Mus musculus: one gene and its partners. The protein of the gene in region 4 interacts with the protein of the main gene of each other region in a biochemical or structural test. Links are inferred from orthologs where the notes say so. Each region holds a gene or a part of one and is shown on either strand. Other genes may lie near its edges. The genes, in order: Rnf168, Mdc1, Ppm1d and H2ax.

Region 1 (8,038 bases), on a different chromosome or scaffold from region 4:
TCCCACCCAAAGAAAAAAAGTTTTATGTTATTTACATTTTATTTTCATGTGTACGCGTGTTTTGCTTGCTTGCATGTACAGTATGTGTAGTATGTGTGTGCAGAGTCTGTAGAGACCAGAAGAGGGTGGTGGAGTCTCTGGAACTGGACATTGGAGTTACGTTGTGAGCTGCCATGTGTTCTGGAAAAGCAGAGCCGCCTCCGACTGTCCTGGCTTTATCATTGTTACAGTAGTGCCGCCGGTCTGACTCCAGCCTCCCAAGCCCTCCAGCTCATCCAGAAGTGGACTAATGGGGATATCTCAGAGATACACACAGCAGTGGAAGTATTTCCTCCTCAGAGGTCTTCAGGGTTTATCCTCTCTCAGAACCCAAGCTCCTGATAGTTTAAGAAGCAATAAATTAACTCTTCTATTACAGGTAGTTTCAGTGTTCTCCTACGGGGTATAAAATCCAAGCTTGCTTCCTGGTTTTGAAAAGTCACCATTGAGCTTAAAAAAAAAAAAAAAAAAAAAGACAACAACAAACCTCAATCCCTGGGCATCCCAAAAGCTAAGGACATGAAATCCCACCAATACCCACCCAGGAAAGCTCTGTGTGTGTACACAAACTCAACTCTATATAAACCCGTCTTCTTGGTTTCCTACTGCCTTTTGCCCAAGCAGAGGCAGCCACCCTCTTGTGTCTCTCCCAATAAAATATTTTGTGTCAGGTTTGTGGTGGGGTGTGACTTAGTGGTATTTCTTGGCTCCTACAGCCAGGATACCTCTCCCCTCAGATATTCTATAGACGCATTGGGTAACTTCTCCCCTTAGAGCTTTAACAATCCTCCAGGGCTCCAACATCACCCCAGTGCACTGGAACAAGAAATTCCTCTTGCTTTTTGCATTGATCCTGGCTCCATGTGGTTCACTCAGGGGGTCCCCGGTAATCTATGGCTCCCTGGAGTTTTACACCTGGACTCCTTACATTCCTGGCTTGGAATCTCTATGGAGACAAGGATGGCCTAGAGCTCTGCAAGATCTACTTGGCTCTACTTCAGGAACACTAGAATTAAGTGCATGGGCTACCACACCTAGTGCTTTGTTCATTGGTTTTTGTTTTGTTAACCAGGGGTTGCTTTCAGGTACCTGGTGACTCAAGGAAGCTGCAGACACCCTCACTGAAAAGCTCACTCCAGAATGGGCTTACTAAAGCTGCACCCAATGAACTTCCTGTCCAAATGCAGGTAGCTCCACCAGAGGCTCTTCTCTCTTCTGCAGTTGTTATTGTCTATTTAACTGTGGGGAGGTTGTTCAGTTGGTATTTTTGAGATGCTGGCCAAAGGAGAACTCCAGGGCAGAGAAGCTATAAATCTCAGGCTGGCTTACTCCATGTAGCCTAGAACTCTTCCTAGAACTAGAAATCTTCCTGTCCATGCTAAGCTGTGAAATAGGTCCTTCCACCACTCTGCCCCTACCCCCACGTTGACAAGCATTGAAGCTAAGACCTTGGGACTGTCAGGCAAGTACTCAACCACTGTGCTCGATTTCCAGCCTCTTTTTTTCCTCCCAAGATAGGGTTTCTGTGTAGTCCTGACCGTCCTGGGACTATGTATGGCTGGCCTCCAGCTGCCTGAGTGCTGGTATTAGAGGCCTGCCCCACCACACTGCCTTGCATGGTTTTCAATGCAGTTTTTCTCTGAGTCCACAGTAGGACTGTAGGTCTGCCGCAATCCTACCCGGAAAGCCCAAATTTTGTTTCAAATGAAAAAACAAAACAAAAATCAAAGCAAAATAATCCAAAAATTTTTCAATGTTCTAATTTTTCCATGCTGAAAAATTCTAATTTAAAATTCTAATTTAAAAGCTACCTGGTTGTGGTGGTTGATGCTGAAAAAGCAGAAATTCAAGGCCAGATTATGCTATACTGTTAAGAGGGGAGCTGGGACGAATGAGTAGGATCAAAATACACTACATACATCAAACATGTATGTATAACATACCCTAAAAACAATTAAAAAGCCAAACAAGAGCAAAGTCACATGTAGTAGTACAGGCTGAGCTTTACGAACACCATGAAATATTTTAAGGACATTTAAGGCTACTTTGACTAGATATTTTTAGCATGATTCAGAATTCCAAAGTATTAAGAGAGATTGACTCTTTGAGACGCTCTTATGTTTTCTTCCTGTGGGCCTTACCTTCTCTTAACCCTGATGCTTAAAACTTCACTAAAAATGCTGTGTGGGAGCAGCCAGATGGTTTACTAGTGCAGTGCCACAGCCTCCTCAAACACGCTGCAGCACACAGCGGCTGACCCTCACGATAAATGAATGAATGAACGCAAAGACAGGGTCTCACTGTGTAGACCAGTCTTCGTTCTACCTCAGAGATCTGCCTGCCTGACTTACAAGAGTGGGGTACATGGGGCTGGAGAGATGGCTCAGCGGAGACAGACTGCTCTTCCGAAGGTCCTGAGTTCAAATCCCAGCAAACACATGGTGGCTCACAACCATCTGTAATGGGGTCTTATGCCCTCTTCTGGTGTGTCTGAGGACAGTGACAGTGTACTCATATACATAAATCTTCAAACAAACAAACACCACTGGGGGATAAAGGGAGTATGGCACTAAGCCTAGCAACTATGTTAAGTTTCATGGAATTTTGTTATAACCCATAGGCTAAATTTTATGTAGCCTATTTTTGTTTTGGCTTTTGAGACAGTTTCACTCATTTGGGCTGGGAATTTAACTCAGAGAGAATGCAGCCCAGTTTGTCCACCAAAATCCTGCCTTAGCCTTGATAAGGTTTGCATGTACAACCATGCCTGGTTTGTAGCCATTTTTTTATTAAAGTGTAGTAAAATGAACATGAGAGCCAATTTTTATTAATCATTCTTTTAATTTTTTTTTTTAAGAACTGAGATGCCCTTGCCTCTGACATGCTGGAATTAGGCTGTGCCATCATGCCAGGCATCTTTTTTTCAAATCTGCACAGCTTTAATACTCTAATATTTTCCAACAAAAATGAGGAAAAAGCAGTTCACTAATGACCAATTTAAAAAATCTAATGCTAACACAAAGGTATCAACAGTAAGAATAACAGAGAGCTAACAGAGAAACTAAAAACCTGAAAACAACTTCAATCAGGATGATTGCCCACGGACAAACTGGTGGTAAATATATAAACTCTCACTATACCATACAGGAATGTTCTTCTTAGTCCCTTTTTGGTCATGAACTATTTCACAAAGATTGAATGTGATAATATCTAATTTGAAGTCCCATCACTATCTTCCTAAAGCATTAAGTTAAATTGCTTTTAGAGGAAAAAAAAATTGCCAAGATAAACATAAAAAAAGTTTTAAAACTCGGAAGAAAAAATTCAAATGACAAAAATGTGGAAAAAGCCAAACACTGCATTAGGACAGTTTATTATGTTCACAGGAAATAAATGGAGCCAAGACACCAGAAGAGAATCTACTGAAACTACAGCTTGCTAAGTTGTCTTAACAAAAGATAGAAGCTCAACTTGACAAGATTCGTCTGGATCCCAGGGTAATGCAAGACAAACCCACACCATTTTCCATCTGTGCGCACATACAAGCATGTGTCTGAGCCAGTAAGCAGCGAGGATGGTAAAGCCAGGTGTTCGACAGCAGAGCGTAGTATCATTTTCTTACAATAATTTATTTGTTTCTAGACAAGATCAGTAAAAATATACCAATTCGCCCTCTCACACCAAGATGCCATGGAGGGAAAAGCTGTAAACTCTAAATATTTTCTGCCACTTAAAGGGATTAAAGAGAATGTTCTGCTACAAGAAGCCTGAAGTCCATGTTGGACCCAGTTTCTGATTACCCATTCAGTTCCAGGGATTCCCTACCTACCAATCCACCACTCAGCCCATGCCACTCTTAAACCCTTGCATTAACAATCTAGCAGTGGGGCTGTAGAGATGGCTCAGCAGGTAAGAGTGCTGCTGAAGGTCCTAAGTTCAAATCCCAGCAACCACACGGTGGCTCACAACCACTCGTAATGAGATCTAATACCCTCTTCTGGTCTGTCTGAAGTCAGCTACAGTGTACTTATGTATAATAATAAAATCTTTTTTTTTTCTTTTCTTTTCTTTTTTTTTGAGGCAGGGTTTCTCTGTATAGCCCTGGCTGTCCTGGAACTCACTCTGTAGACCAGGCTGGCCTCGAACTCAGAAATCTGCCTGCCTCTGCCTCCCGAGTGCTGGGATTAAAGGCGTGCGCCACCACACCCGGCTTTTTTTTTTTTAATAAATCTTTAAAAAAAACAAACAATCTAGCAGCTATTCTGTAACTAATTGATGTTGATACTTACCTGTTTTTTTTAAAGATTTATTTATTATATGTAAGTACACTGTAGCTGTCTTCAGACAGGCCAGAAGAGGGCATCAGATCTCATTATGGATGGTTGTGAGCCATCATGTGGTTGCTGGGATTTGAACTTGCGACCTTCAGAAGAGCAGCTGACCTTCAGAAGAGCAGTCTGCGCTCTTAACCGCTGAGCCATCTCTCCAGTCCGATACTTACCTATTTTAATTCAAAGGAAATGCTAAAATGCTTAGAATTAAAACTATGAAGGGAACTAATTAGTGTTATGGAAGATACCTGTGTGGACTCCTTACCCATTCATTTAAAAAAAAAAAGAGGGAAAAAAAAGGCTATAAAAGTTTTGGAAAGGGAAGTGGCACCTGAAGATGTACTGACCAAGGTGTTTTTATACCTGTAAAGATGCCACACTTAGAACACTGCAGTTATTGACAATGGAAACAATTCCCAAGGTTGTTTCCTACTAGCCGTCTTTTGTAGAAACACATTTGTAAATTCTTCCTTTGTAACCAAACCTCAGAGAGTAAGCAAGCTTGCTGAGCAGAATGTGAGACATCTCAGGATATTAGGACAGAAGAGCTAGCTTTGCAATACATCATTTCTGGATTATAGAACTCTTTCCCCATGCTTTGCTTGGTTATCTCTGAAACATTTGAACAATGCTTCTCTGGGACTTTCTATGCTGTACGGTATAGGCACTTTTAGATACATTACAATTATCTTGAGTAGAAGTTGGCATCTTTGTTCCATTAACTGAATCCTTCCATGTGTTTTTAAAGGGCTCCCAATAGTCACCTTTTGTGTTCCTCGGAGATTTTGAGTGATCTGCATTAGTTTGCTGTAGGGAGTTCCTATCTTTGGAATTCTTCCTTTGTCTATTCAGCAGCCTGTCTGGGGGTGAGGGTGTGCGTAGCTGGTACTGATCTGGGGATCCTTTCTGCCGGTTTGGCACCATTTGCTCTTTATCTACCTCTTTCTGAAGTTGTAATGCTAACAATCTGTCCTGCTCTTCTTGCTTATGTCTCTCAAAAAGCATATGTTCCAAATCTATCAGTTTTTGTGTAAAATTCACTTCTGTTTCTTCTTGATCTGAGGAGGATTCGATGAATATTTTCCTTCTTTTTGCAGAAAAACATGGATCCATGACTTCTTCAAATACAGATTCCTGGTTTTCTCTGTCGGAAATCTCTTCTTCAACTAGTAAGTGATACACTCTACTCTCTGTTGGAACTCTGTTGCCCCCAGTTAACTGGGGCACACCTGTCACAGAGTATTCTTCATTTTCTATTTTACTAGAAGAGTTAACTGCAGCTTCATTAGAGTAAAAAACTGTGGCTCTAGGTCCATCATCATTTACAATACATAAATCATCAGGACTGGTTGATACTGTTTCAACTTTTCCCTCAAGGGACTCTTTAGTGTCTCCTACACATAACTGTGGCCCGGGTATCCCTGCAGAAGACTCCGAACCTTGTTCTTGAGTTTCCAGGCAGGTCTGAGGAGAAAGTGTTGGTATATTTTTTTCAATTTCTGTGTCTTGCAACACAGGGCTCTTCGTGTCACTCCTATCAGTTTCCTGTAGAAAACAAAACTCCTGAGTATATATAGAGAAAACGTATAAGCCAGCTACACTCATCTCTTAGATGAATGGTCACTAGACACGATCACATATTACTAATGAGGGATTCTCATCACCACTGTACCCACCTTTTCTTTTTTTTTTTTGTTTTTGTTTTTTGTTTTTTGAGACAGGGTTTCTCTGTATAGCCCTGGCTGTCCTGGAACTCACTTTGTAGACCAGGCTGGCCTCAAACTCAGAAATCCGCCTGCCTCTGCCTCCGGAGTGCTGGGATTAAAGGTGTGCGCCACCATTGCCCAGCCATAATTCTTTCTTAACTTTATTTTTTTTACCTGGTGTGCCAAGTAAGATCAGGACAAGTCATTTCACTGACATGGAAACCTACAGTAGCTTTAATTATGTTTAACATATGGCCAATAGCTGGCATCAGGACATGGCCTCTTTCACCTTACAAGCTTCTGGTCCAGAGTGTGTTGACCTGTACGTGCTATGGACCTTCTCTGACATTATAAAGATTTTATTTTTAATTATGTGTATATATTGGGGAGGAAGGGAGGAATGCATGACCATGAGTGAAAATGTCCAGAGTCCCTGGAGCTGGAGTTACAGCAGTTGATGTAAATGAGCCAGACTTGGGCACTCCAAAAGAGCAGTGAGTGATCTTAAAAAACCAAGAAATCTCTCCAGCCCTTCTTGAGTATTTTAATGATGTGTCTACAAAGACCTATTCTGAGGAGAATTTTTTGTTTTTGTTTTTGTTTTGTTTTGTTTTTCCCACCTTTTTGTTTTTTGAGACAGGGTTTCTCTGTATAGCCCTGACTGTCCTGGAACTAATTTTGTAGACCAGGCTGGCCTAGAACTCAGAAAATTGCCTGCTCTGCCTCCCGAGTGCTGGGATTAAAGTCATGCGCCACCACAGGTGAGATGTCTTTTTTGAGATAGGGTCTGACAGTTTAGCAAACTGATGTGAGACTCTTGGACAAGAGATTCTGCCATCTCTCCAGCCTGTTTGTTTAATTTCTTAACCCACAAAAGGTTTTCATTTGATAAGATATACTAGCAAACTGAATTATTTGTATATTAAGGAAGAGAGAATTATTAAAAAAATTTGTAGCAAATATGTTTCCCTTCCTCTCCCTTCTCCTTCCTTCCCTTGGTGATAGGAATCAAACCTGGAGCTCACTCTATATACAGACTGTATTACTGATTTACACTTCCAAAACCACTGTTTCTTAGGCTCTCTCAAGCCCTGGTTATGCTACCATTCCTAGACAATACCCGTGTTTTCTCTCAGTGACAGAGCCACAACTACTATTACTAGTACTGTCGTTTGTTGTCTACATTCAACATTAAAAGGAACACTAAATGAGAGACTAGCAGAAATACACACTTTCTTTTTTTACTTAGCTCTTAGGCAGGGCTGGAGAGATGAGTCAGTGGCTAAGAAAACTGGCTGTACATCAGAGGACCTAGACTGAATTTCCAGCACCCACATGACAGTTCACAGCTATCTGTAATTCCAGTTCCAAGGGAACTGTTGCCCTCTTCTGGACTCCACAGGCACCACACACATACATACATATATACATACATACATACAGGCAAAATACACAAATTTTTTTTAAAGCCAAACCTTGAAGTGACTTTTTTTAAAAATTTATTTATTATTATATGTAAGTTCACTGTAGCTGACTTCAGATACACCAGAAGAGGGCACCAGATCCTATTACAGATGGTTGTGAGCCACCATGTGGTTGCTGGAAATTGAACTCAGGACCTTCAGAAGAGCAGTCAGTGCTCTTACTCACTGAGCCATCTCTCCAGCCCCTTGAAGTGACTTTTTAAAAATAAAATAAAACAAAACAAAACAACAACAAAAAGCAACTCTAAGTTTGTTCTTTACCAGGACCCCTTGGAGCTGTATACTGGGGATGTTACCAGAAATAATTGACTTTTGAAACAGAGTATTACCATGTAGTCTAGACTGGCATGGAACTTGCTATATAGTTCAATTCATAATCTTCTTTCCTGTGTGAAAGGATTATAGGCCCACACCACATGGGGTTTGAGTGACACCACATTCTTGCTTGGCTGCTGCTTAGCGTCTCAGTTGTAAGGAC
Region 2 (8,038 bases), on a different chromosome or scaffold from region 4:
TGAAAAGGGTTTCATATAACTAACCCAAGCTGGCCTGCAATTTACTACATAGTTAAAGATAACCTTGAGCTTCTGATCCTCTTGTCCCCATTTCCAGAGTGCTGGGATTACAGGTAGGTATTATGTGTATTAGGTATCAAGCCCAGTTCTGTATATGCTAGGAAACAGGCTACCGACCAAGCTCCATTCCCAGCCCCCACTGCAGCTTTTATCATAATCTGCATGAGACACAGAATATAGTGGGATAAGATAAAAACGATGCAAACAAGGGAACACAGGAAAGTCCTGACTGAGGAATATTCTCAGGGACAGCTGGTCTCCTCCCTGCTGGAAGTCAATTCCTACAAAGGCAGGGGGTGGAGTGAGGGCGAGGGGCACTACACAATAGAGAATCAGAAAATATAATAAATACATGGAGCTGGGTGGTGGTGGTGCACGCCTTTAATCCCAGCACTTGGGAGGCAGAGGCAGGCGGATTTCTGAGTTTGAGGCTAACCTGGTCTACAGAGTGAGTTCCAGGACAGCCAGAGCTCTACACAGAGAAACCCAGTCTCGAAAAAAAAAACAATAAATAAATAAATAAATAAATAAATATTATGATTGGGGGTCACCATAACATAAGGAACTGCATTAAAAGGTTGCCTGGAAGCTGGGCGTGGTGGTGCACGCCTTTAATCCCAGCACTCGGGAAGCGGAGGCAGGCGGATTTCTGAGTTCGAGGCCAGCCTGGTCTACAGAGTGAGTTCCAGGACAGCCAGGGCTATAAAGAGAAACCCTGTCTCAAAAAACAAACAAACAAACAAACAAACAAAAAAAGGTTGCCTGACTACAGAAAAAAAAAAAAAAAAAGGGAAGGAAGGAAGGAAAAAAAAAGAAAGAAGTGTAACATTATTGAAACTATTAACTATGGGCGCAAAGCAAAGTATATCTATCTATTTTTGACCCAAGCTTGCTTCCCACCATCTACATGGTAGCTCCCAACAATATGTAACTCCAGTCTCAGGGGATCCAATACCCTCTACTCTCTTCTGCCCTCTACCAGCACAAGGTGCACAAATAGTGCCGACATACGTTCAGGCAAAACATCTACACACACAAAATAAGTCTTTTTCTTTGTTTCCTTTTTTTTTTTCTTTGAGACACAGTTCTGGCTGTCCTGGAACTTGCTATGTAGACCAGGATGGCCTCAAATTCAGAGATCTTCCTGCCCCTGCCTCCTGAGTGCTGGGATCATCACCATGGCCAGCTCAATAAATAATTTTTTCCCTCCCAGCCCCCCTTTCCTTCTCCCTCTTGCTCCAGACCACTTGCTCTGGCCCCCGTTCGCTACAGCCCCGAATAACTAAATCTTAATAAATTAATCAGTCACTTAAACGAAAAGAAAGCCAAAAAGGCTTCTGACTTCCTGGCTGCTGGAGTTACAATGCTTGTGAGCCCTTCTGTGGGTGATGGATGCAAACGCTTGTGCTCATGCTAGAGCAGCAAGTACTCCTAACCACAGCTGTCTCTCCAGCCCCTCTTCTCTGTGTGTAAAATAGACTTAAAAAAATGTTAGGGTGGGGGTGGGGGTGAGTAAGAAAGGGACATGCAGGAGGCAGAGGCAGGTGGATCTTGAGTTCAAGGCCAGCCTGGTCTACAAAGTGACCTGGTCTACAAAGTGACAGGACAGCCAGGGCTACAGAGAAACCCTGTCTCGAAAAACCAAAAAAAAAAAAAAAAAAAAAAAAAAAAAAAGAAAGGGACACGCAGTCCCAGGGGCTTCCATGAGTATATACCTAGAACTTCTCCTCATGCTTCAAGTCCCATGTGCTAAACTGCCAATGTGGAGCACCATATCTGGCTGCTTGAAAATGTTTAAACCTTAAAAACAACACTGAGGCTGGGGTGGGGAAGGGGTATAGGAAACTTTTGGGATAGCATTTGAAATGTAAATAAAGAAAATATCTAATAAAAAATAAAAAAATAAGTACCTGACACCAAAACAAGACAAAAACAAAAAAACAACAACACCGAGTCCCTTTGAGGCCAGCACCTCTTCCTCTCTTCCCTCATTCTTGTTCCTCTTTCCCTCCATCATTCCTCCAACCCTCTCTTGTTCCCACTTCCTATGCTTGCCATACCTTATAGGAGTGAGGCATGCTGGGCAGGAAAGTGCCTCCACAGCAACTGATGATCTCGCCCATCTGAGGGGGGGGTGGCTGCACGCCAGGGGTCACATGAATCTCATAGTCCTAAGAGAGGAATGATGGAGACAGACACCTGCAGTGACAGGCCAAAGGCACTGGGAAACCTCTAAGAGCTCCAGGGGATAGGACGGCAGCGTGGTGCAGAAGACAGACTCTTATTTACCTCCAGCAGTCTTCGTTCCCGAGCCCGGCACAGGGAATCCCGAAGGCTGAAGCTAAAGTTCTTCTCTTGCTCAGGATCAGTCACTAAGTAGTCATCAGGCGGCAAGAAGCAACCAGCCTTTCGGGACTAAGGAACAGGCAGAACTGTTGTTTATCTGAAGTGACTGTTTTGTGTCTTGTTTGTCCTTCCCAGTGCTGAGGATTGACCTCAAGACTTCAAGCATGCTAGGCAAGTGCTCTGGTACTGAGTCATCCCAGCCCTGTATCTTCTCAAAGCAGCCCACTGCTTCGCTAACCCAGTTCTCCATCTCCTCCCTCCCACTACTTCCCCACTGCTAGGTGAGCAGTCCTTTCCAGCCATTCGTCATCTCCTGGCTTCTCACCTGGTACAGCCAGTTCAGGGACAGGATGGGAATTCCCTTCCCCAGGGCACACAAGAACTTGACTGTCCTGCGGATGCGATCAGTAACTAAGTGGGAGGCCTCATTTACTGAGCTGGCCAGACTGCCTCCCAGAGCCAGCACTGCACGCTCGCCACGAGAATCCATGACTCCTGTGAACAGTACCTGGGGGGGGGGGAGCGGGGTATGGTATAAAGATGGTCACAGCAACCCACACTAGCAGCACCCATCTCTCAATCCCCAGCACCTTGTTTTCTACCTTGGGGGCTGTTTCTTGGTTAGGTTTAGTTCGCCGGCTTCGAGTTGGTTTTCCCTGGGTCACTTCTTCTGCATGGTCCCTCTTTCTCTTTTCTGGTGTTGGAATTGCAGTCTCTTGAGGCTGAAAAGCATCTCAGTGAGAATTCCTGAGCTCTGTAGCTCTTGCTCCTAGCTAGGGACATCCCCACCCCACCCTCAGCTCTCCTCTCACCTCTTCCTTCACTTCTGTTTCTACAGGTTCTTCCTTGATGACTACAGTTTTCTGGGAGGCTTGTCTTCTGGGACGTTTTTGACGGGGTGAGTCTGTGGTAGTGAAACGCTTCTTTCAGTTTTGAGAAGCCTTAGGCTGGGGCTTAGGAATGGGCCCTGAGCTCCCAGCTGCTTCATTATGCATCAAGGGCATGGCAGGCTCAAGAGTGGTTGTAACTGACTCACCTGCTTCTGATGCTCCTGAGCTTTGGCTGGCTGAAGATTGGGGCTCAGGTTCAGAGAGGGCAGAGTAAGACTTATGACCCAGAGGGACTGTGCGGGAACCCTGCTTCCCAGCAGCCCTTCGTTTCCTTTGGTGATTGGCTTGTGGAATGGGCTCTGGGGTAACAGGCTGGGCTATGGGGACAGGAGGCTTGAGATCAGGGGTACTGGAAACTGGGGAAGCACTTAGGGGTGAAGACTGTAGTGTTAAGCTCTGATCTGTAACCTTAGGGGTGACAAGATGGTCTGTAGAGGTGGAAGGCTCAAAATCAGGGGCCACTGGCCCAACTGATTCACAATCTTCAGTGGAGGGTTTATATGTCCTTCCCTGAGTGACCAGAGCTGTAGGCTTAGGGGCAGGCTGTTTTTTAGAAGTGAAAGGCTGGAGTTCAGGGGTTGTGGGGACACTCGCTTCAGGAGTCTTGACAGCAGACCTACGTGTCCTAGCCTGAGATGAGGGCTCACGGGTATCAGGCTGTTCTGTGGAGGTGGATGGATGGAATTCAGGGCCAGTTTGGACAACTGGTTCCGGGGTCCTGATAGACTTACTTGATCTACCCCGAGAGGCCCGAGATGTGAGGTTAGGGGTGACAGGCTGTTTTGCAGAGGTAAGAGGCTGCAGCTCAGGACCAGTGGGGACAACTGATTCTGGGGTCTTGATAGAAGACTTACTTGGTCTACCTCGAGTGGCCCTAGGTTCAGGGATAACAGGCTGTTCTATAGAGGTGAGAGGCTGAAGTTCAGGGCCAGTGGAGACAACTGATTCTGGGGTCCTGACAGAAGACTTACGTGGTCTGCCCCGAGTGACCCGAGAAGTGGGTTTAGGTATGACAGGTTGTTCTATGGAGGTGGGAGGTTGGAGTTCAGGGCCAGTAGAAATAAGTGGTTCTGGGGTCTTGTTGGGAGATTTACTTGGCCTGCCCCGAGTGGCCCGAGGTTTGCGGTCTGGGGTGACAGACTGTTCTGTGGAGGTGGGAGACTGGATCTCGGGACCTGTGAGAAGTGGTTCAGGCATCTGTACCCTGCCCTCAGTGACCTGGGACGTAAGTTTTGGGATGACAGGCTGTTCTGTGGAGGTGGAAGGCTGGAGTTCAGGGTCTACAGGGACAATCAGTTCTGGGGTCCTGGTAGAGGACCTATTTGCCCTGCCCCGAGTGGGTCGGGATGTTGGTCTAGAGGCAGCAGGCTGGTTTGTGGGGCAGGTAGTATTTGGCTTAAGGGCAGCAGAGGAATGCGGGGAGGGGGTCATCCTGGAGGACCGCCGTGGCCTGACATTAGGCTTTGTGTGAAGACTCTCAGGAAGGGGTATCTCAGAAGAAGAGGTCGAAAACAGAGGCTGAGGTGTAGACTGCTTTTGGCTCTGAGAGGTGAGGAGACTCTGAGTTGAAGCTTCAGGCACTGAAGAAAACAGGCAGTGGTCTGGGGGCTCTGGATCACCCTGAGAAGGAGGAGAAGCAATTGACAAAAGACACCAAGAAAGAGGTGGACAAGGATCTTTAACTTTTTTTAGTGTTTCTATGAAGTCATAGCTCATGTGCCTTCAGTGTCCTCCACTGACTCTTCTAGCTTAATTTCCAAGTGCTGGGACCAAAGGCCTATTTGCATGTTTGGTTTGATTCTATTTATGGTCACAGGACACTCACTGGCACCTTTCTTTCTGTGACCTCTCTTTAGGCTGGGAACTCCTTGGGGAAGGAAACAATCTTTTGGACACCGTAAGGGATTCCTAACCCTAATACTTCAGTGCAGTGATATGCACAGGTGTGTATGGCAACTAAGACATGGCTGGGGCAAAAGAGGGATGAAACACAAAGAGATCTCTGGGTCAATATAGGGAACTATGGGTGGCAGGACACAGGAATGGAAACCAATTAATAAATGACGAACAAGAAAACTGGGAGCTGGGCATGGTGGCACACTCCTTTAATCCCAGCATTCGGGAGGCAGAGGCAAACGGATTTCTGAGTTTGAGGCCATTCTGGTCCACAAAGTGAGTTCCAGGACACCCAGGGCTATTCAGAGAAACCCTGTCTTGAAAAACAAAACAAAACAAAACAAAAAGGAAACTGGGAACATGGGATCAGGGAGACAGGTCAGTAGGCAAAGCAAACACCAAGACCTGAATTTAATCTCCAGAACCCATGTAAAAAGGACAGGTATAGTGGCTATGTTTTGAATCCCAATGCTAGAGAGGTAGAGATAGGAGAATTCCTGAAGCTTGCTGGCAAGAATCTTAGTCTACTTCAGCATATTCTAAGCCAGTTTAGGATCCTGACCACCACCACCCTTCTAAAAAGCTGGGTAGTGGGCTGGTGAGATGGCTCAGTGGGTAAGAGCACCCGACTGCTCTTCCGAAGGTCCGGAGTTCAAATCCCAGCAACCACATGGTGGCTCACAACCATCCCTAACGAGATCTGACTCTCTCTTCTGGAGTGTCTGAAGACAGCTACAGTGTACTTACATATAATAAATAAATAAATCTTTAAAAAAAAAAAAAAAAAAAAAAAAAGCTGGGTAGTCCCTGAAGAACAACACACAAGACTATCACTTGCCTTCATCATGCACTGCCCCTAAACACAAACCCTCACAAACATGCACAAATGTACATGCAGTGAGAAAATGGGAAGTATAGACAAAGAAAGATTAAAGGAAGGCTAGGCAAAGGGCTGTAGAGGAATGATAAGAAAGCAGCTCACCCTGGAAGCCTTTCCAGCAGGTGTCGTCTGGCAACTCAAGCGGCCTAGTCAAAGAATAAAACAAGACTGGCTGAGTGTTGTGCAGCCCGCAGCTCAGATACTAACTGCCATGAGGACTACATACCCCTTGGCTCCCCTGCCTCACACTTACCTCTCTGCTGCCTCCCAGGGCTCAAAGGGTCTCCCTTTCCTCCATCTGCCTGGCTCCCTGTGATTATTGGGGCTGATGCAAGTCCCTCAAGGTCCTTCACCCCAACTCCAGGCTTTAGTGTTAGACTAGCAATTTGCCCTTTCTGATCATGGCTCCCTTCCTCTGTCACCCCTCTATCTGGAGTCACTTCTAAATCAGCTGGCTCCCATTCTCTCTTTGGTTCTGGTTTCTCTACTTTTCTCTCTCTCTTCTGTGAGTCTTTGGACATCTCTATTTCTACCTCCAAACTCTCCCTATTCCCTTCAAGATCCTTGTCAGCCTCTTTTCTCTGACTGTCTCTAGCTAACACCTTCTTTGGCTCTCTGTCCTTTGTCCCCTGAATTAGTTCTTCTCCTATCACATCTCTCTCACTGTTTTCTGTTCTTCCCCTGATTTCCCTCTCCAATGGCTCTCTCTCAGGGGTCATCCTGTCTGCCATTTCCTTTGGTATACCCATGGCTTTCTCCACAGTCTGTATCTCTCTGCCTTCAATTCTCAACAGCTCTGTGTGAACTGGGCTGGTATGAACCAGATGTTGGTGTCCTGGTGGTTCCCTAGGCAGAGATGGTTGAGATCCATGAGCTTCATGAAGCTCAGAAGTCTCTGACTGTTCTCTTAGACAGAACGGCTGTGTAGCCAAGACTTCCCAAGGCACATCCAAGGTATCTGCACCTAAACAGGATGAGAGAAAGGAGATAAGTACACAGGTAAAAAAGGCACTAAGGTTGAGAACGAAGGCAGGCTCGCAGCAAACAGCTACATGGGTTACAAAAGGGAAGCTGGGAGTAGGGTGGTGGTTCTAACACTGAATGCTATTCAGGAGATTATAACCTCACGCACAGCTTCCCTCAGGAACTTCATTTGAAAAACAAGGACTGGGGATGTGGTTTAGGAAAACACTCATTTTAGGAGAATACTCATTTGGCATGCATAAAGCCCTGATTAAATCTCCAGAGAGAATGTAGAGTGTAAAAATTTTTGAGTTTTTGGGTTAACCCCAAATCTCCTGAACTAGAATCAGAGTAATCTAGGCAATCTAATTTTTACTTGTTATTTTATTTTTTAAGACTTATTCTAAAATTTTTTATTCACATGTATATGTGTATACCATGTGTGTGTGGGGTACCCAGAGAGTGATGAAATCTCCAGAAGTGCTGTTACAGATGGTTGCCAGCTGCCTGACATGGGTGCTGGACTCTGGTCCTCTAAGATGATTGCCACTCTTAACCACTGAGCCAAGCCCATTTTGTTGGATTTGTTGTTGTTGTTTGAGACAAGGTCTCATTCAGTCAAGGCCTCAAACTTTCTATGTAGTCCAGGATGGCCCTGGGCTCCTGCCTCTGCTTCCCAAGTTCTGGGATCACAAGTGTGTGTGTCACCATGTCTGGTATAGGTTCTTTTCTTGAATAACAAAAGAATATGAAAAGTGCGTCTGCGGATACAGCTCAGTGGTTAGAGAGCTCATCGAGCAAGCATATGAAGTCCTCGTCCATCCCTAGCTGGGTGGCACACACCTGTAATCCCAGCCCTTGGAGAACCAGCAGTTCAAGGTCATCCTCAGCTACAGGAACTCTTTGTCAACAAACAAACAAGAATATGAGGGGCTGAAGAGAGAGCACTGGTGGCTCTAGCAGTCCTGAGAACCCACATGGCAGCTTACAACTCCAGTTCCAG
Region 3 (8,038 bases), on a different chromosome or scaffold from region 4:
CTCTCTCTCTCTCTCTTTCTTTCTTTCTTTCTTTCTTTCTTTCTTGGAGATATGGTCTCCCTACATACCTACATAGCCCTGGTTGACCTGGTACTCTCACCATGTCAACCAGAGATCCACCTGCTTTTCTCTTCTAGACTAAAGGCATTCACCACTATGCCAGACTTTAAATTTTCTTTTTTGAATCAGAGGTCCATATAGCCCAGGTTGCCCTGGAAGTCTGTATGTAGCTGAAGATAATCTTGAACTCTTGATCCTCCTTCTTTTACCTCCCAAGTGCTGATATTACAGGTGTGTTCCGTCAGATCAGGTTCAGAGATGTGATATTAAATAATATTGTTGCTTTGACTGTCTTATTTGCGCGCACACACACCCATTTTATTTTAGGTGAATTTTGAACATGACTCAATTACTTGTATGCTTTTAGTAAATTTTTGTTTTTCTGAATTTGCCTTTTGTTATTATTTATTTATTTATTTAGACACACAGGGTCTTTTTGTGTAGCCCTGGTTGGCTTAGGATATGATATGTAGACCAGGCTGGTTGTGAACTCATCAACTCTCTGTCTCTGTCTCCCTAGAGCTAGAACTAGGTGTCTAGCATCACAGATAACTAAATGTCAATAACAAATAAGTGTATATACTGTCCAGATAGAGAAGAGGACATTGCCTGTATTGCACACGTACCTGAATATCTATGCTGGTCTTACTTGTGTTGTCCCTGTGTGGTGCTGGGTTTTGAATATGGAAGTCAGTGTATTCTAGATAGGCTTTCCTTTTTACTTTCTAGAGATAGTCTCATGAAGTTGCCCACACTTGCTTTGGACTGGTTTGTGTTTTTTTTTAAAAACAAATCTATGGTTTGTGTTTTTTTTTAAAACAAATCTACTTTTTTTTAAAAAGGTTTATTTTATGTATGTGTGAGTACACTGTAGCTGTCTCAGACACACCAGAAGAGGGCATCAGACCCCATTACCGATGGTTGTGAGCCACCATGTGGTTGCTGGGAATTGAACTCAGGACCTCTGGAAGAGCAGTCAGTGCTCTTAACCTCTGAGCCATCTCTCCAGCCCTTGCCTTGAACTGTTGTTGGTCCTTCCACTTCGGCCTTCTAGTAGGTAGGATTAGTTTCCTGCCACTGTGGCTTCATGTTTCTCCTTCCAAGGAGTAACCATCTCTTGAGCCTCCATTCTGTACTGCTTGCTGATGATTTTAGTCGTCTGACCAGGTAAGTTCTGTACATGATGTCCTTTATCTCCGGAGTTTCTGAGATTCTTAGGCATTGTGTAGAATGAGGAGCGCCTCAGGGTTTCTTCACTCTGTGAGCAGTGCTACTCTGGCCATGTGTTTCTGCAGTGATGTGTGGTACTCCTGGGGTGGTTGAGGAGGTCCTGTCTTCCTCCCACATGATACCCAAGTGTCCCTGCAGTGTTCATGCTGTCCTCAGTAGCTGACTGAAGTGTGTGTTGCTTCCGCATTTCCGACCACATGTGCTGTGTCATCCTTTAAGCACTTGTTCTCATGCTGTGTTCTCTTGTGGTTTTTAATTACTATTTACCGGATGACTGAAGAAAACTTGAATGCCTTTGCGTGCTTTTTGTCTGAGTTTTCTCTTTGGTTCAAGGCCTATTTAGGCCTTTCTTTTTTCCTTCAGGTGGCCTGTCTGACTGATTTCAGTTGTGGGGACATTTTGTAGACTTTGTATACGTCAGTGAAGTAGTCTGATTCTGCTCCTGGTAACTTACTAAGTAAACTTGTGGGTACACAAGGAGGCCAGAAGGTGTTGGGTTCCTTAGGGCTGGAGTTAGAGGTGTGGGTGCTGCTGTGACCTCATGATTGAGCAGCAGGGGCTTGTCACTACTGAGCCTCAGTTTACCACCCATTGCCTAATTAAGGAGAACCAATTTATTCCCTCTTACTAGCTTTTCTTGCTTATCATTTGACTGCCCTCTGCAGTTATCCTAGTATAACTGTTTGCTCAAACTTACAGGACTCCCTCATTTTGCTGTGACCTTTACTGTGCTATGGGGTGACTTTTATATTTTGTCCTTTCAGTAGAGTTCCAGTGGGCAGAGTATGTAAGTAAGTGATTCAATCTGCTATCATGAATTTACAGTTGGAGTTTAGTATTACAGAGTTGTTGTAATACTAAATTGTTGTTGTCACTGAATTTAACTAGACAGTATATGGTTTGGAATTGATTTGAGAGTTCTGTTATTTAATTTTTAAGTTATCTTAAGCAAGCTTCTTAACCATGCAAAGTATTTATTTCTTCATTTGTAAGATGAAAATAGGAATAATTTGTTTTTCTTTTTGTTTTTCAAGACAGGGTTTCTCTATATAGTTTTGGCTGTCTGGAACTTAACTTTGTAGACCAGGCTGGCCTCAAACTCAGACATCTACCTGCCTCTGCCTTCTTAGTGCTGAGATTAAAGGTGCACACCACCACTGCCTGGCTAGGGAAGAATTTTATGTCTTATTGGCTTACTGTAAATATTATTTGAAGTAGTACGTGCAAGCTTCTTTGTATAGGACTTTGGTGATGAGTAAATGTTGTTGGGTGGGTGGGGAGATGGTTTAGCAGTTAAGAGCACATCCTGCTTTTGCAGAGGACCTGCCTCAGTTCTCAGCACCCATCAGGAGACTAACAACTGCCTGTAACTCCAGCTCCAGGGAATTTGATGGCCTCTTTTGGCCTGTTTGGGCTCTGTACACATGGTATACATAATTGTCAACCACATACATATGCACATGTATACACACACACACACACACACACATACACACACACAAATGAAAATATGGGAGGCAGAGGCAGAGAGGCCGAGGTAGAGTCTCTGAGTTCAAGATTAGGTTAGCATGATCTACATAGCAAGTTCCAAGCCAGTCAGGGCTACATAGTGATATCTTGTTTCCACCCCCCCCCCCCCAAACAACAACAACAACTCAAGTCAAAACTAAGTAAATAAATTAAAATTACTAAAATTAGAATATTTAAAAGTTGTTTAAAAATAAAACCAAGTGGCTATTTCTGGAAAGATACAAGTGCTGGAATTTGACGAAATGGTATTATAACCAACTGTACTGCAAAGCTTGGTTGTTGCTTAATGGTAAACTTGAATGGCATGTAGGAGGCCTTGGGTTTGGTTCCTAACAAAGAAAACTTAGTATACCTTTGCTTCTCTATGTAGTACATGGAAATAGAAAATCTATCCTGTAATTTTTTTCTCTCTCAGTATTGGTTTATAGTTTTATTATAGTTATTTATAAATTTATTGATTAGAGGAATTAATTTAAATTCTCAGGTAGTGTTCTAGTTAGTTTTATGTCATCTTGGCACAAAATAGAATCATTTTGGAAGAGGGAATCTCAACTGAGAAAAAACCTGACCAGATAGACCTGGACAAGCCTGTAGTGCATTTTCTTGCTTGATGGTCAATGTGGTAGGGCCCAGTTCACTAGGCAGTACCACCCCTGGGCTGGTAGTCCAGGGTTAGCTAAGAAGGTAGGGTGGGAAAGCCAAGAGGAGCAAGACCTCCTCCATGGTCTCTGCCATCAGTTCTTACCTGCCCTGGCTTTGATGATAGAATATAATGTGGAAATGTAAGATGAAATAAGCCCTTTCTTGGGGCTGGAGAGATGGCTCAGTGGTTGAGAGCATTGACTGCTCTTCCAAAGGTTCTGAGGTCAATTCCCAGCAACCACATGGTGGCTCACAACCATCTATAATGAGATCTGGTACCCTCTTCTGGTGTGCAGACAGAACACTGTACACAATAAATAAATAAATCATTTTTTTTTAAAGCCTGTTCTTTTCTACTAATGCTTGTTTTGGTCATTTTTTTTCCCCTTAAGACAGGGTTGTATGTCGTCCTGGCTGTCCTGGAACTCACTCTGTAGACCAGGCTGGCCTTGAACTCAGAAATCTGCCTGCCTCTGCCTCCCAAGTGCTAGGATTATAGGCGTGCGCCACCGCTGGTCATGGTGTTTTATCATAGCAACAGAAACCCTACCTCAGCCAAGTCGATTCTAAGCCTTCTCCCTCCCTCCCTTCACCTCCCTCCAGTTCAAGATGTTTTTCTTAAATTTTTTGCTGTTCAAACTCAAGTGTTAACATGCTAATTCAAGATAAGTTGCTTTTTATATTCCGATAACTGTTCTAATGTGGAGAAGTAAAATATAAAATGTTTTCTTCCTTATTACAGCAGAATGGCCAAAGACTATGACAGGTCTTCCCAGCACGTCCGGGACAACTGCCAGTGTGGTTATAATACGGGGCATGAAGATGTATGTAGCGCATGTAGGTGACTCTGGGGTGGTCCTTGGAATTCAGGATGACCCAAAGGATGATTTTGTGAGAGCTGTGGAGGTGACACAAGATCACAAGCCAGAACTTCCCAAGGAAAGAGAAAGAATCGAAGGACTTGGCGGCAGGTGATCATTTGTTTTGTCTGTCTTATTTTGGTTCTGGTTAGCTAACTGTGTCTACTCTGTCTTTTGTCTTTCTACATCTCCCCCACTACTCCCTTTTAATTGAGGCAAGGTAGTTGTGTAGGCCAGCCTGGTCTGTAACTCACTGTGTAGCCTAGGCTGGTCTTCAGCTTGTTGCCCTTTGCTGTAGTTTCCGCAGGTCTGGGATTATACATGAATCCTTCCTCTTGCCTTCCACTCTCTTTTTGAGATAGAATCTTTTTTTTTTTTTTTTTTTGGTGTTTTTGAGAAAGGGTTTGTCTGAGTAGCTCTGGCTGTCTTGGAACTCAACTTTGTAGACCAGGCTGGCCTCGAACTCAGAAATCCGCCTGCCTCTGCCTCCCAAGTGCTGGGATTAAAGGCGTGCATCACCACGCCTGGCTGAGATAGAATCTTATATAGCTGAGCCTGACCTGGAACTCTGATCTTCCTGCCTCTTCCTCCCAAGTGCTTTGCTGGGATTACATGCATGGGCAACTATACTTGCTCTGTTTTCCTTTTTAAAGCAGTTAATCTTCTAGTATTATGCGGTTTTATTTGCTTGTTGTAAAAATATCACATTTACATTATTATTTTGAATTGCTTTATTGATGAAAATGGCTCTAAATGAGAAGTAATATCTCAAGTAACAATAGGTAAAATTTTATTGAAAGCCTTTCAAATAAATACTGACATAAGACCTTCAGAATCTGCATGGAGCAGAACAGTTAGAGTATGCCATGTGCCTGGCAGATACTATTCTTACAGCTTATCATAATCCTAGATATTTAGAAAAGCATTCTTCTTTTTAAGTCTCTTGGGACATGTATGTATGTATGTATGTATGTATGTATGTATATATGTATGTATGTATGTGTCTACAGTGAGAGAAAATGCTTCATTGACAGAACTGGTATGCTTTGGCATTTTTGCAGAACTCGCAGTGTTTAGTAGGTGACAGCTAGTCTTTCATATCTTCTGTCTTTAGACTGTCATGGAATGTTACCTTTGGTTGCAATAGCTGGTTACACACACATTTCAATGCAATTGTTTGTTTGTTTATTTATTTATTTTGAGACACAGTATGGGCCAGCCTCAAACTCACAGAGGTCCTCCTACTTGTACTGGGACTAAAGTATGTGCCACCAAGCTCCTCCCTCTCTTTCTTTTTTCTTTCTTTTTTTTTTTTTTTTAAAGATTTATTTATTATATGTAAGTACACTGTAGCTGTCTTCAGACACTCCAGAAGAGGGAGTCAGATCTTGTTACAGATGGTTGTGAGCCACCATATGGTTGCTGGGATTTGAACTCCAGACCTTTGGAAGAGCAGTCGGGTGCTCTTACCCACTGAGCCATCTCACCAGCCCATCTCCCTCTCTTTCTTTGTGGTAGATTGTGTGTGTGTTACTTGGGATTGAACTGAGAGTCTTATGCAAGCTAAGCAAGCACCTCCTGCTGACTTGGATTCCCAGTTCCCCATAATCAATCAATCTATCAATCTATCTATCTATCTATCTATCTATCTATCTATCTATCTATCTATCTATCTATCAGTCAATCATATGTAAGTATACTGTAGCTGTTTTCAGATGCACCAGAAGAGGGCGTCAGATCTCGTTATGGATGGTTGTGAGCCACCATGTGGTTGCTGGGATTTGAACTCAGGACCTTCAAAATAGCAGTCAGTGCTCTTACCCGCTGAACCATCTCTCCAACCTACTTATTATTTTTTGAGACAGGGTCTCACTATGTAGCTCTGGCGGTAGACCAGGTTGGCTCTGATCTCACAGAGATTGTATGTGAATGCTTCCTGATTGGGCCACCATACTTGGCCCTCACAATCTTTTAAATTGAGGCATTTTTTTTTTTTTTTTGACATTTCTGGAGATCAAACCCAGTCCTTGCACATGTAGGCAATCTCTGCCATTTAATTGTGCCACTGGTCTTTTCCTGTACATGTTTAATATTGGAAGGCCTTTTGCTTTTTCATTATATTAAGAAGATTTTTTTTTCTTGAGTATTTTCTTATTTTTTTAACTTGAATTTTTAAAGTTATTTGATTTGATTTTTTTTTCTTTTTTCTTTGATTTTTAATCTCATTAAAAAGAAAGAGTTTATAGTTTTTGCCTTTTCACTTAAAAATACCATCTGGACAGTTGGATACATGCCTTTTGCCATTTGGGAGCAGGTGTATTTTTGCAAAAATTGAGCCATTTTATGATAAGTTATTTCCTGTCTTCCCTCAGTCCCAGCCTAGGCTGTTGGCCAGCACTCTTGTTTTTGTAGCCTTCTGTTGATGCGCAGTCAGCTCTCTGCATGGCAGGCTGTTCCTCTCCATTTGCCTTTTAATACAGAGCAACAACAGAGTGTGCGGGAAAAGTAGTATCTTGTAACATTGCTTTGGTTTTAGACTTTTTCTTAAGCAAACAGTACCATTATTTGTCTTGTTTCTCAGACACACAAAGACCATAATATCCTTGCCAATAAAGTATCAGGGGACCTCTCAGTACATTTGTATTGGGGACAGCTCCTGGAATTGCTCTGTGCTGAGGCTCACCTGTCATGTTAGATGTTTAGAGAGAACACTTGGGCTTTAAGGCGGTTGGAAGACAGAATGCTGGCATTCATCCTCAGTGCGATCTCCTGTGTGACGATGTTCTTGTGAGTGGCCAGTTTACTTCATTCTACCCACTGAGCTTCAGCTTTGAAGAAAAGTAAGAAAGCAACCGCCGTTTGTCTTCCACCTCTCCTTGGTGTTAGAACTGAAAGATGAACTTAGTCTCCAAAAGGAAGGTGAACAAGGGACTTTCTGCAACTCTGCTTTATATTGACATTTTTGGATACTCTGTTTTAATGTGTTTCAGCTCAACTGTCACCGTATCAGTGATAACCACTGGCCACATGTGACTGCTTAAGTTTAATAAAAATTAAGCCATAGAACCAGTTCCCTTGTCCTACTCACAGTGTTTTCTAGCCCTGTGTTAACGGAGGACAGGGCAGATTGACCATTTCCTACAGCTGCTCGGCTCTCCTGGTGTGGCCTTTGATTTTATTGCGTTCTCTCTTTAGGTGAACTTGTCTACGGATTCTCTCCCTGTCAGTCTTGTCTGGGAGTGTGTGTACCCGGCTAAGTGTGGAGGTCAGAGGACAACTAGGACATTGCTCCCTGCCTTGTAACACAGGGTTTCTTTGCTGTTTTCCTGCTGAATTCCCCATGCTAGATGACCAGAAAGCTTCCAAGGATTCCCCCTTCTCTGTCTTCTATCTCCCTGGAGGAGGAGTGCGGGGATTACAGACGTCCCTGCATTTATGTCTGGCTTTACATAAGTCCTGGAGGTCTCAGTTCAGGTGGACAGGTTTGCACCGTCAAAGGCCTCAGTGTATCCAGCCATCACTACTATCCTGTCCTCGGGGATAGGTTTTTGTTTTTTCTTTTATTCTGCAGTACTGGGTATTGAACCTAAGGGCTCATGTATGTTAGCCAAGTGCTCTACAACTGAGCTGTATCCCTAATCTAGTTTTCCAGGCTGTGAAGCCAGTTAATGTTCATTTTGTTTAGGGAGATAGAGTCCTGCTGCTCACATACAGTA
Region 4 (7,637 bases):
GACAGAGGCGCTTCTGCTTTTACTTTCTGTGCTGCTAAGTGGTTTTGGTTTTTACAGTGAATATGTGATATGTTTCATAAAACTAATTTTAAAAACAGTGTGTCCTGGGGCTAGAGAGATGGCTCAGGGGTTTAAAGTGCTGGTTGCTTTTCCAGAAGACCCCGGTTCAACTTCTAGCACTCACACCGTAGCTCACAACTATTTCGTATTTCAGTTCTAGGGGAACTGATGCCCTCTTCTGGCCTTTGGAGACAGGCATGCAAAACACCCATGCACATAAAACTAAAATAAAACTTACAGAGCAAGTTCCAGTACAGCCACGACTACACTATGAGATCCTATCCAAAGAAGTCTTTTTTTGTTTTGTTTTTTGTTTGTTTTGGTTTTTCGAGACAGGGTTTCTCTGTATAGCCCTGGCTGTCCTGGAACTCACTTTGTAGACCAGGCTGGCCTTGAACTCAGAAATCTATCTGCCTCTGCCTCCCGAGTGCTGGGATTAAAGGCGTGCTCTAACCACGCCCGACTCCAAAGAAGTCTTTTTATTTTATTATTTATTTATTTAGTTAGTTAGTTTTTCGAGACAGGGTTTCTCTGTATATCCCTGGCTGTCCTGGAACTCACTTTATAGACCAGCCTAGCCTCCAACTCAGAAATCCGGCTACCTCTGCCTCCCAAATTGTGGGCTTAAGGGCATGTGTCACCACTGCCCAGCTTTTTTTTTTTTTTTTTTTTCATTTCTACCATTTTTCTAGACAGGCTTTTTCTGTATAGCCCAGCCTGTCCTGGAACTCTCTCTGTAGACCAGATTTAGCCTTGAATTCATGGAGATCTGTATCTGCCTCCAGTGCTGGGATTTAAAGGTGTATACACCACCACTCAACAAAAACAAAAGTTTTTTAAAAGTTAGCTAGAGGGGGGAAAAGAGACTGTGGGGCAGAGGGTGCACTGGGTAGGTCTTGACTTCTCCTTAGCAACGCTCCACAGCGGGGAAACCTCAACACCCGCCTCCGGAAGCTGGATGAGCTGCAGGAATTCAGTGCCATCGTCCTGGCTGTGGCTGGCCTACAGCGCATGGGCTGGCAGAACCGGGTGGGCCAGGTAGGAGCTGCCCTGTTCTGCTTCCCATTGAATCTGCCTCTCTCCTGCCTTGATTTCTTCCTGACCATTCTGCCAACAACACTACAACCAGAAGCCCAGGCTAGGGATATTGGGACTCATTGCTGGACTTCCTACCTGTGCCTTCCCCAGGCTTCCTAGATTGGCAAACCCTAGCTCACTGCCTTTGAACATCCCCTATCCCACCATCTTGTCTCTCTCCACAGATTTTGCACCCAGAAGAATGCATGTATGCTGTGGGTCAGGTAGGTTTGCCTGGAGAGAACCTGGTTCATAACCTTTGGCACCTGCTATCCATCAAATAAGATGTTTAGAGAGGGACAGGTTTGGTTGTTATGCATAAGACCCAGGGAAGCAGGTAGAGGTGTGTTTCTCATGCTTAGCTCTATTACTAGAGAAGATCAGGCCTGTTGTTCTTTAGGGAGCCCTAGCCGTGGAAGTCCGAGCCAAGGACCAGGATATCTTGGACCTAGTGAGTGTGTTGCACGATCCTGAAACTCTGCTTCGCTGCATTGCTGAAAGGGCTTTTCTGAGGCACCTGGTAAGATGGGCTCCTCCCATGGTGTTGTGGGGAAACCAGGAAGGGCAGTAGGGAGAGAGATTTGTCAAGTACTCAGTATGTAATGTTTTGTATGTATGGAGAGGACCTTGATCTGGCCCCTTGAGGTCTGTGGTCAAAAGTGGTGTTAAAGGCCCTTAGAGCTCAAAGGAACATATCATTGCAGGAAGGAGGCTGCAGCGTGCCCGTAGCAGTGCATACAGTGATGAAAGATGGGCAAGTAAGCCAGGGAAATGGATGAGGGGAGGGACTGTCATTTCCATGTGCACCGAAACATCTAAGTAACTTTCTTTAAATATCCTGGTACAAACATTTTATTTCCTAGCTGTACCTGACTGGTGGAGTCTGGAGTCTAGATGGCTCAGATAGCATGCAAGAGACTATGCAGGCCACCATCCAGGTCCCTGTTCAGGTATTGACTGGGAGATGAGGAAGGAATAAATAGAACTGCTTGTAATCTTCCTCTTACCAAAATTGTAACCTGTCATCCAGCAAGAAGATGGTCCAGAAGATGACCCACAACTGGTTGGAATCACTGCCCGTAACATTCCAAGAGGAGCCCAGCTAGCTGCTGAGAACCTGGGCATCAGCCTGGCCAGCTTGCTGCTCAACAAAGGAGCCAAGAACATCCTGGATGTTGCACGGCAGCTTAATGATGTGCGCTAACTGGTCTGTAGGGCACAGGAACCCTGGCTGCCACTCCACTGCCTACTTCTGGCTTCCAAGTGCCCTGTGCTCCATCCCTAGGGATGTGATTATCCCAGGAAATTGAACCACGGGGTTGTTGAGACTTCCACTTTGGAAGATATGCCTCACCTTGGGGCCTCCATATCTGCCTTTCCCTCAGTAGTTGGGGGCTTCATCTCTTTAGAGAAAGTCCATGCCAATCTTTGAATGTAACCAATACCACTAATAAACCAGTTTAGAATGTGGTTCTTCTGATAGAGTTGGGGAAGATATGAATAAACCCAAAGCCCTTTTAAACTTGAATTGAGTCTGAGACCTTTCTGTTGTAAAACACGCTGTGATTTGCCTCATGTTCTCAAAAAAAAAAAAAAAAAAAAAAAAAAAAAAAAATCAGCCTTCAATTCCTACAGCCTGTCTTCAGTCAACGGGATCTTCGTGGATTACATAGCCTTTCCCACTCCCACGGCCTGCAGAAAGGGAAGTCCCATTCTCTCCCAAGATGTGCCAGGCACATGGCTCTACCACGGAGCTATATGTCCAGCCCTGGGACTACAGCATTCAACATTAAACCACTTTTTTAAAAAAACAAAACCAAACGATCCTTTAATAAAATTAGCCCATTAAATCTCCCCACTTAAGGTTCTAAACTTGTAATAGCTGCAAAAGTTCCAGTTCAGAAGCCAGAGGCTCAGTCCAGACAGGGATTCACCGGCTTGTGCTGGTATCTAGGTGTTTGGGTTGTAGTTGAGTCGCTGGGGAAGAGGGGATGGATGGCTAGGCCCGGCTGCCAGTCGCCTGCGGCAGGTATAGAACTCTTGTCCACAGGCCGGTAAGCGTCTCTCTGACCCTTGCCGGGAGGTATTCCTAGAGAAACTGGGTTCACATTACAACCATTTTTGGCCCCGCCACACCACACTGGCCTACGAATGGCGACAGGGTCAACTGGTATGAGGCCAGCAACGGTGACACCGAAGGAAACAATGTGATCCATTTCTCCTCCTCTAAGCCCGGCAATCAAGTCACTTTTCAAAGGTCCAGGCGAGGGCTAAGCACCAAGCTGAAGCAAAGACGCCGGGGCTGTAGCTGCGGAGGGACTAACCTTCAAGCCCACCGCGGCCGGACGTCTGAGCGAGGGGCCGAGACTCCGGGAAGGCGCCGCAGCCTCTCCGCACGGAGCCGTCGTCCACAACCGAGAACGGCGAAGCGATGTCACGAGCTCCGGGATGGGCAGGTGCCGCGGCGCCCGCGTCCTCCGTGGCAGAACCGGAGGCCGTGCGGGGTAAGGGGAAGAGTGGCGCGAGGGCGGGGAGGGGAGAGGAGGGAAAGAGAAAGGATGGGGACGCGGCAAGCCGCCGCAGCCCGAAGTGGCTCAGCTCTTTCTGTGAGGGAGGTGGTGGCCCTTAAAAGGGCCTTTGTGGAGGTGTGGGGAGGGCTGGGCGGCCTCGGCGCGGGCCCCCTCAGTACTCCTGAGAGGCCTGCGAGGCCTTCTTGCCGACCGCCGGCGCCTTGGGCCCCACGGTGGCGCTGCTCTTCTTGGGCAGCAGCACGGCCTGGATGTTGGGCAGGACGCCGCCCTGCGCGATGGTCACGCCGCCCAGCAGCTTGTTGAGCTCCTCGTCGTTGCGGATGGCCAGCTGCAGGTGGCGCGGGATGATGCGCGTCTTCTTGTTGTCGCGGGCCGCGTTGCCCGCCAGCTCCAGGATCTCGGCAGTGAGGTACTCGAGCACCGCTGCCAGGTACACCGGCGCGCCTGCGCCCACGCGCTCGGCGTAGTGGCCTTTCCGCAGCAGCCGGTGTACGCGGCCTACAGGGAACTGAAGGCCGGCGCGTGAAGAGCGCGACTTGGCCTTGGCGCGGGCCTTGCCGCCGGTCTTGCCGCGTCCGGACATAGTGTACGAGGTAGAAGAGCTGCGAACAACGCTGAGAGACCACGAACTACCAACCGCCGCAGTCAACGGTCGCCTGGCCGGCCAAGCCCGGCCTTATAAACTCCCTGGACACGCCCCCGCTTCCTCCTGATTGGTTCCTTTTTTAATACCCACCTCTGGTTGGTTGCAATTAACCCTTCGGTGACGCGCCTTAGCTGAGAGAACGCGCCCAGTGATTGGTCCAATTTGAAAACCTTTTACCCGGGGAAGAAGACAAGGCGGAGTGGCCGCAAGCCGGAGGCTGCTCACCCCTGGAAATGGCCAATCCGTGTAGAGCGCGCGAAATTTAAACGCTACGGCGCGACAACAAAACCTGAAGACTAGAAGGGTGGAGCTTGGAGCTACCTCTACAGTTTCTGGGAAATTTGAGTCGGTCTTTGGTCTTAAAGGAAAAGGGTCTACACTATAAGCAGCGTTCTCCTTCCAGGTTAGAGCACTTCCCACTCCCTCCTCTAATCTGGTAGACGGAGGGTTTATTTGTTCATTATTATTTTTAGGTTTGTTTGTTTGTTTTTCGAGACAGGGTTTCTCTGTGTAGCCCTGGCTGTCCTGGAACTCACTCTGTAGACCAGGCTGGCCTTGAATTCAGAGATCCGCCTGCCTCTGCCTCCCAAGCCTGAGGATTAAAGGCGTGCGCCACCACCATCTGGCTTTTGTTTGTTTGAGACAGGGTTTCTCTGAGTAGCCCTGCCTGTCCTGGAACTCAGAGATCAGCCTGCCTCTGCCTCCCTAGTGCAGATTAAAGGGAGGGAGGGTTTAAAAGAAACGAAATGAAACCTCCTAGGAGTTTAATCCTATGCCAGAAAATGGAGCACTGTGATCTTTTATGCTATCACAAGTTTGTGCTGCGATATTTATTCAACATGTTCTGTCTGGTCTTAGTTTGTGACAGGCCTTTTTTGCAAGAAAGGGTCTGATGGAACAGAGATCGGTATCCTATTGGGAAAGGTACCCGGTCTAACCCTTCCAATCTATCCTAAAATGCCTATATAAAAAATAAATATACCAGACTTGGCATATAGTTCAGTGGTAGAGCAGTTAAGTATAAGGAAGCCCCGGTGTTCACTCCTGAAGCACCACGAAGGTTAAAAAGGACAGAGGGAGGGGATGCTACACTAGAGGAACAAGTAAAAGGCAGTCCTTTATTGTCACCGTTCTGAGCACATGGCCCTGCCTCTACGCTTCCCAATCACAACACTTCATTTGATAGTCAAATGTGAGGTCACCTTGGAGTATGTAGCCCTAACTCTAGCCCTAGCCCAGGTTCTCTCTCAAGGCTCAGGTGAATTCCTTTAGAGTTAGCGCTCTGAAAGCTGAGCTACGAATATTTGCATAATAGAGGCTACAAGCCCACCTGGTGAGGCTGCAGATGGGACAGAAAGGGAGGGCAAGGCAAGATGAAAGCCCTAGGCAAAGTCCAACTAGCGGACTTCAAGTCCAGCAAGGTGTCCATCCAGGATATCAGTAGTCACAGATGGCAGAAGCTGAGAACAAAAGTGTCAGCGAGGCCTGGACCAGAGGGTCATCTCGGACCAGACAGAGGCTGGTCCTGGCTGAGGTCCAATGGAGACTGTGAGGTAAAGGGCAGCTGTCAGGGAGCTCAGACATCATAGAAGAGTCGGACGAGTTGGTAACGAATGGAGAAGGTGGCGGCGCTGCTTAGGACCTGGGAGAAGTGGACTGGAATTAGAAGCAAGGCCAACCAGAGATGTAAACGCCATGGCATTACTAAGCCCCACCCTGAGCTGTACCTGCAGGAGCAGCAGGAGCAGGGTGAGGTTTCTCTCATGTATAGGCCCAAAGACTTTAAGTAGCAAGTTGATGAGGGTCATGTTGTTACACTCAGTGAAGGCACCGTCCTCACTCTCACCTTGGTGAACTGTCACTAACCGGAGGTTCTCTGCTACCTGCAGGGACCAGAGGTGAAGATGACTTCAGTTATGCAGATCTACTTCACGAATAGGGATCTTCTTGATGTTCCCAAACTCCCCTTGGGCCTGAAAAGGCCTAGGTTTCTCTTTTCCCAAGTTAAGGATGGCGGCCTCGGGCCTTACCTCCTGTTACCTTGTTACCTTTAAAATAAAGGTGCCCAGGAAAGAGAGGTTCTTGGTCTTGAACTTGGAATAGCTCATTTCCAGTTTGCCTGTCTTTGCGTTGAGTCTGCAATGGGAAGATAATTTCATTTGACTGAATCAGAGACCTCTGCACCCTGGTTACTAAGAAGAGTACTGAGGCCGGGCGTGATGGCGCACACCTTTGATCCCAGCACTCAGGAGGCAGAGGCAGGCGGATTTCTGAGTTCAAGGCCAGCCTGGTCTACAAAGTGAGTTCCAGGACAGCCAGGGCTATAAGGAGAAACCCTGTCTTGAAAAACCAAAAAAAAAAAAAAAAAAAAAAAAAAAAGAGTACTGAGTACTTATGTACTGGAGTTGGTTTCTGGCTCCGTGATCAGGGCTGTTGTAAGCATTACATACTATGTAAGTAAACGAGCTTCGTAAATTACAATGGGCTACCCACATACAGTCGGCTCATCTTTCCCCTCATGTTTTTTTTACATAGGAAATGCAAGTTGGCTTTAGCTATCCCAAGTCAGAAACTATTATGACCCTTGAAAGCCCCAGAGTGGTTACCTGGGCATCCGGTGTCGAGGGCAGGGGATGATATGGAAGAGCTGAGGCAGTGAGTAGAGGAAATTGAATACTTGTGGCATAAAGAAGAGCAGCATGGTCTTGCTGAAGTGTCCCAAGATCCCCACCACGGCAAAAGTCATGCCCGCAAAGTAACAGAAGGTGTCTCCCACAAACACGCGGGACGGGTACCTGTGTGGGAGAGAGGATTTCAGCCAATGGCAAGAGTTGTTACTGACTCTTTCTTTCAGTCACTCGCTCTGAGTAACAGGCCAGCCTTGACCCTGAGTTCTAAAAGAAAGGCTGTTCCAGAAACTCTATAGGCCCCACGGCCCCCAACTCATCTACTCCTAGGGGCTACACAGCATTTGTTCCCAACTCCTGCAGGATAGGCAGGGATTCCACACCAGCACCAGGCTGCTCTGTAGCTCACCGGGCAAGCAGTCACCTAGCGAGTACAAGGTCATGGATTTGATCCCCAGCACGAGGGTGTGCAGATGGTGGGGTGAAGGGTGGGATCTAATAGCACATGCCTGTATTTCTAGGCCAGCCTGACAACACCGTAAGTTCAAGGCCAGCCTGGGCAACTTACTAAAACCCTATTCTCAAAAAAAAAAAAAAAAAAAAGTCTGGGGATACAGCTAAAATCTAAAGTGCTTGCTTAGCATTAAGACCTCAGATTTAATACCCTGTTCATAAACACAAACACACACACACACC

What was found.
Region 1: of the proteins of H2ax (region 4) and Rnf168, one has a biochemical effect on the other in vitro, tested with the Homo sapiens proteins (2 studies listed by BioGRID). The link is inferred for Mus musculus from reciprocal best matches to the Homo sapiens genes H2AX and RNF168.
Region 2: the proteins of H2ax (region 4) and Mdc1 form a complex in vitro, tested with the Homo sapiens proteins (5 studies listed by BioGRID and IntAct, with this or other methods). The link is inferred for Mus musculus from reciprocal best matches to the Homo sapiens genes H2AX and MDC1.
Region 3: of the proteins of H2ax (region 4) and Ppm1d, one has a biochemical effect on the other in vitro, tested with the Homo sapiens proteins (3 studies listed by BioGRID and IntAct). The link is inferred for Mus musculus from reciprocal best matches to the Homo sapiens genes H2AX and PPM1D.

Annotation. Positions count from the first base shown.
Region 1 is NC_000082.6:32,296,265-32,304,302, reverse strand, and holds the end of Rnf168 (E3 ubiquitin-protein ligase RNF168), read right to left. Parts: intron 5,916-8,038; coding exon 4,977-5,915; 3' UTR 2,861-4,976; downstream 1-2,860. UniProt on the Homo sapiens protein: E3 ubiquitin-protein ligase required for accumulation of repair proteins to sites of DNA damage. Acts with UBE2N/UBC13 to amplify the RNF8-dependent histone ubiquitination.
Region 2 is NC_000083.6:35,849,293-35,857,330, reverse strand, and holds part of Mdc1 (mediator of DNA damage checkpoint protein 1), read right to left. Parts: intron 7,037-8,038; coding exon 6,326-7,036; exon of another isoform or gene 6,219-6,325; coding exon 6,175-6,218; intron 4,917-6,174; coding exon 3,443-4,916; intron 3,311-3,442; coding exon 3,219-3,310; intron 3,129-3,218; coding exon 3,009-3,128; intron 2,915-3,008; coding exon 2,732-2,914; intron 2,476-2,731; coding exon 2,350-2,475; intron 2,232-2,349; coding exon 2,121-2,231; intron 1-2,120. UniProt on the Homo sapiens protein: Histone reader protein required for checkpoint-mediated cell cycle arrest in response to DNA damage within both the S phase and G2/M phases of the cell cycle.
Region 3 is NC_000077.6:85,322,660-85,330,697, forward strand, and holds part of Ppm1d (protein phosphatase 1D), read left to right. Parts: intron 1-4,204; coding exon 4,205-4,433; intron 4,434-8,038. UniProt on the Homo sapiens protein: Involved in the negative regulation of p53 expression. Required for the relief of p53-dependent checkpoint mediated cell cycle arrest.
Region 4 is NC_000075.6:44,331,376-44,339,012, reverse strand, and holds H2ax (histone H2AX), read right to left. Parts: upstream 4,299-7,637; 5' UTR 4,252-4,298; coding exon 3,820-4,251; 3' UTR 2,936-3,819; downstream 1-2,935. Other genes in the region: Hmbs (porphobilinogen deaminase), read left to right, coding at 985-1,098, 1,323-1,361, 1,538-1,657, 1,842-1,895, 2,001-2,087, 2,168-2,341; Dpagt1 (UDP-N-acetylglucosamine--dolichyl-phosphate N-acetylglucosaminephosphotransferase), read right to left, coding at 5,891-5,956, 6,042-6,197, 6,363-6,450, 6,921-7,109. UniProt on the Homo sapiens protein: Variant histone H2A which replaces conventional H2A in a subset of nucleosomes. Nucleosomes wrap and compact DNA into chromatin, limiting DNA accessibility to the cellular machineries which require DNA as a template.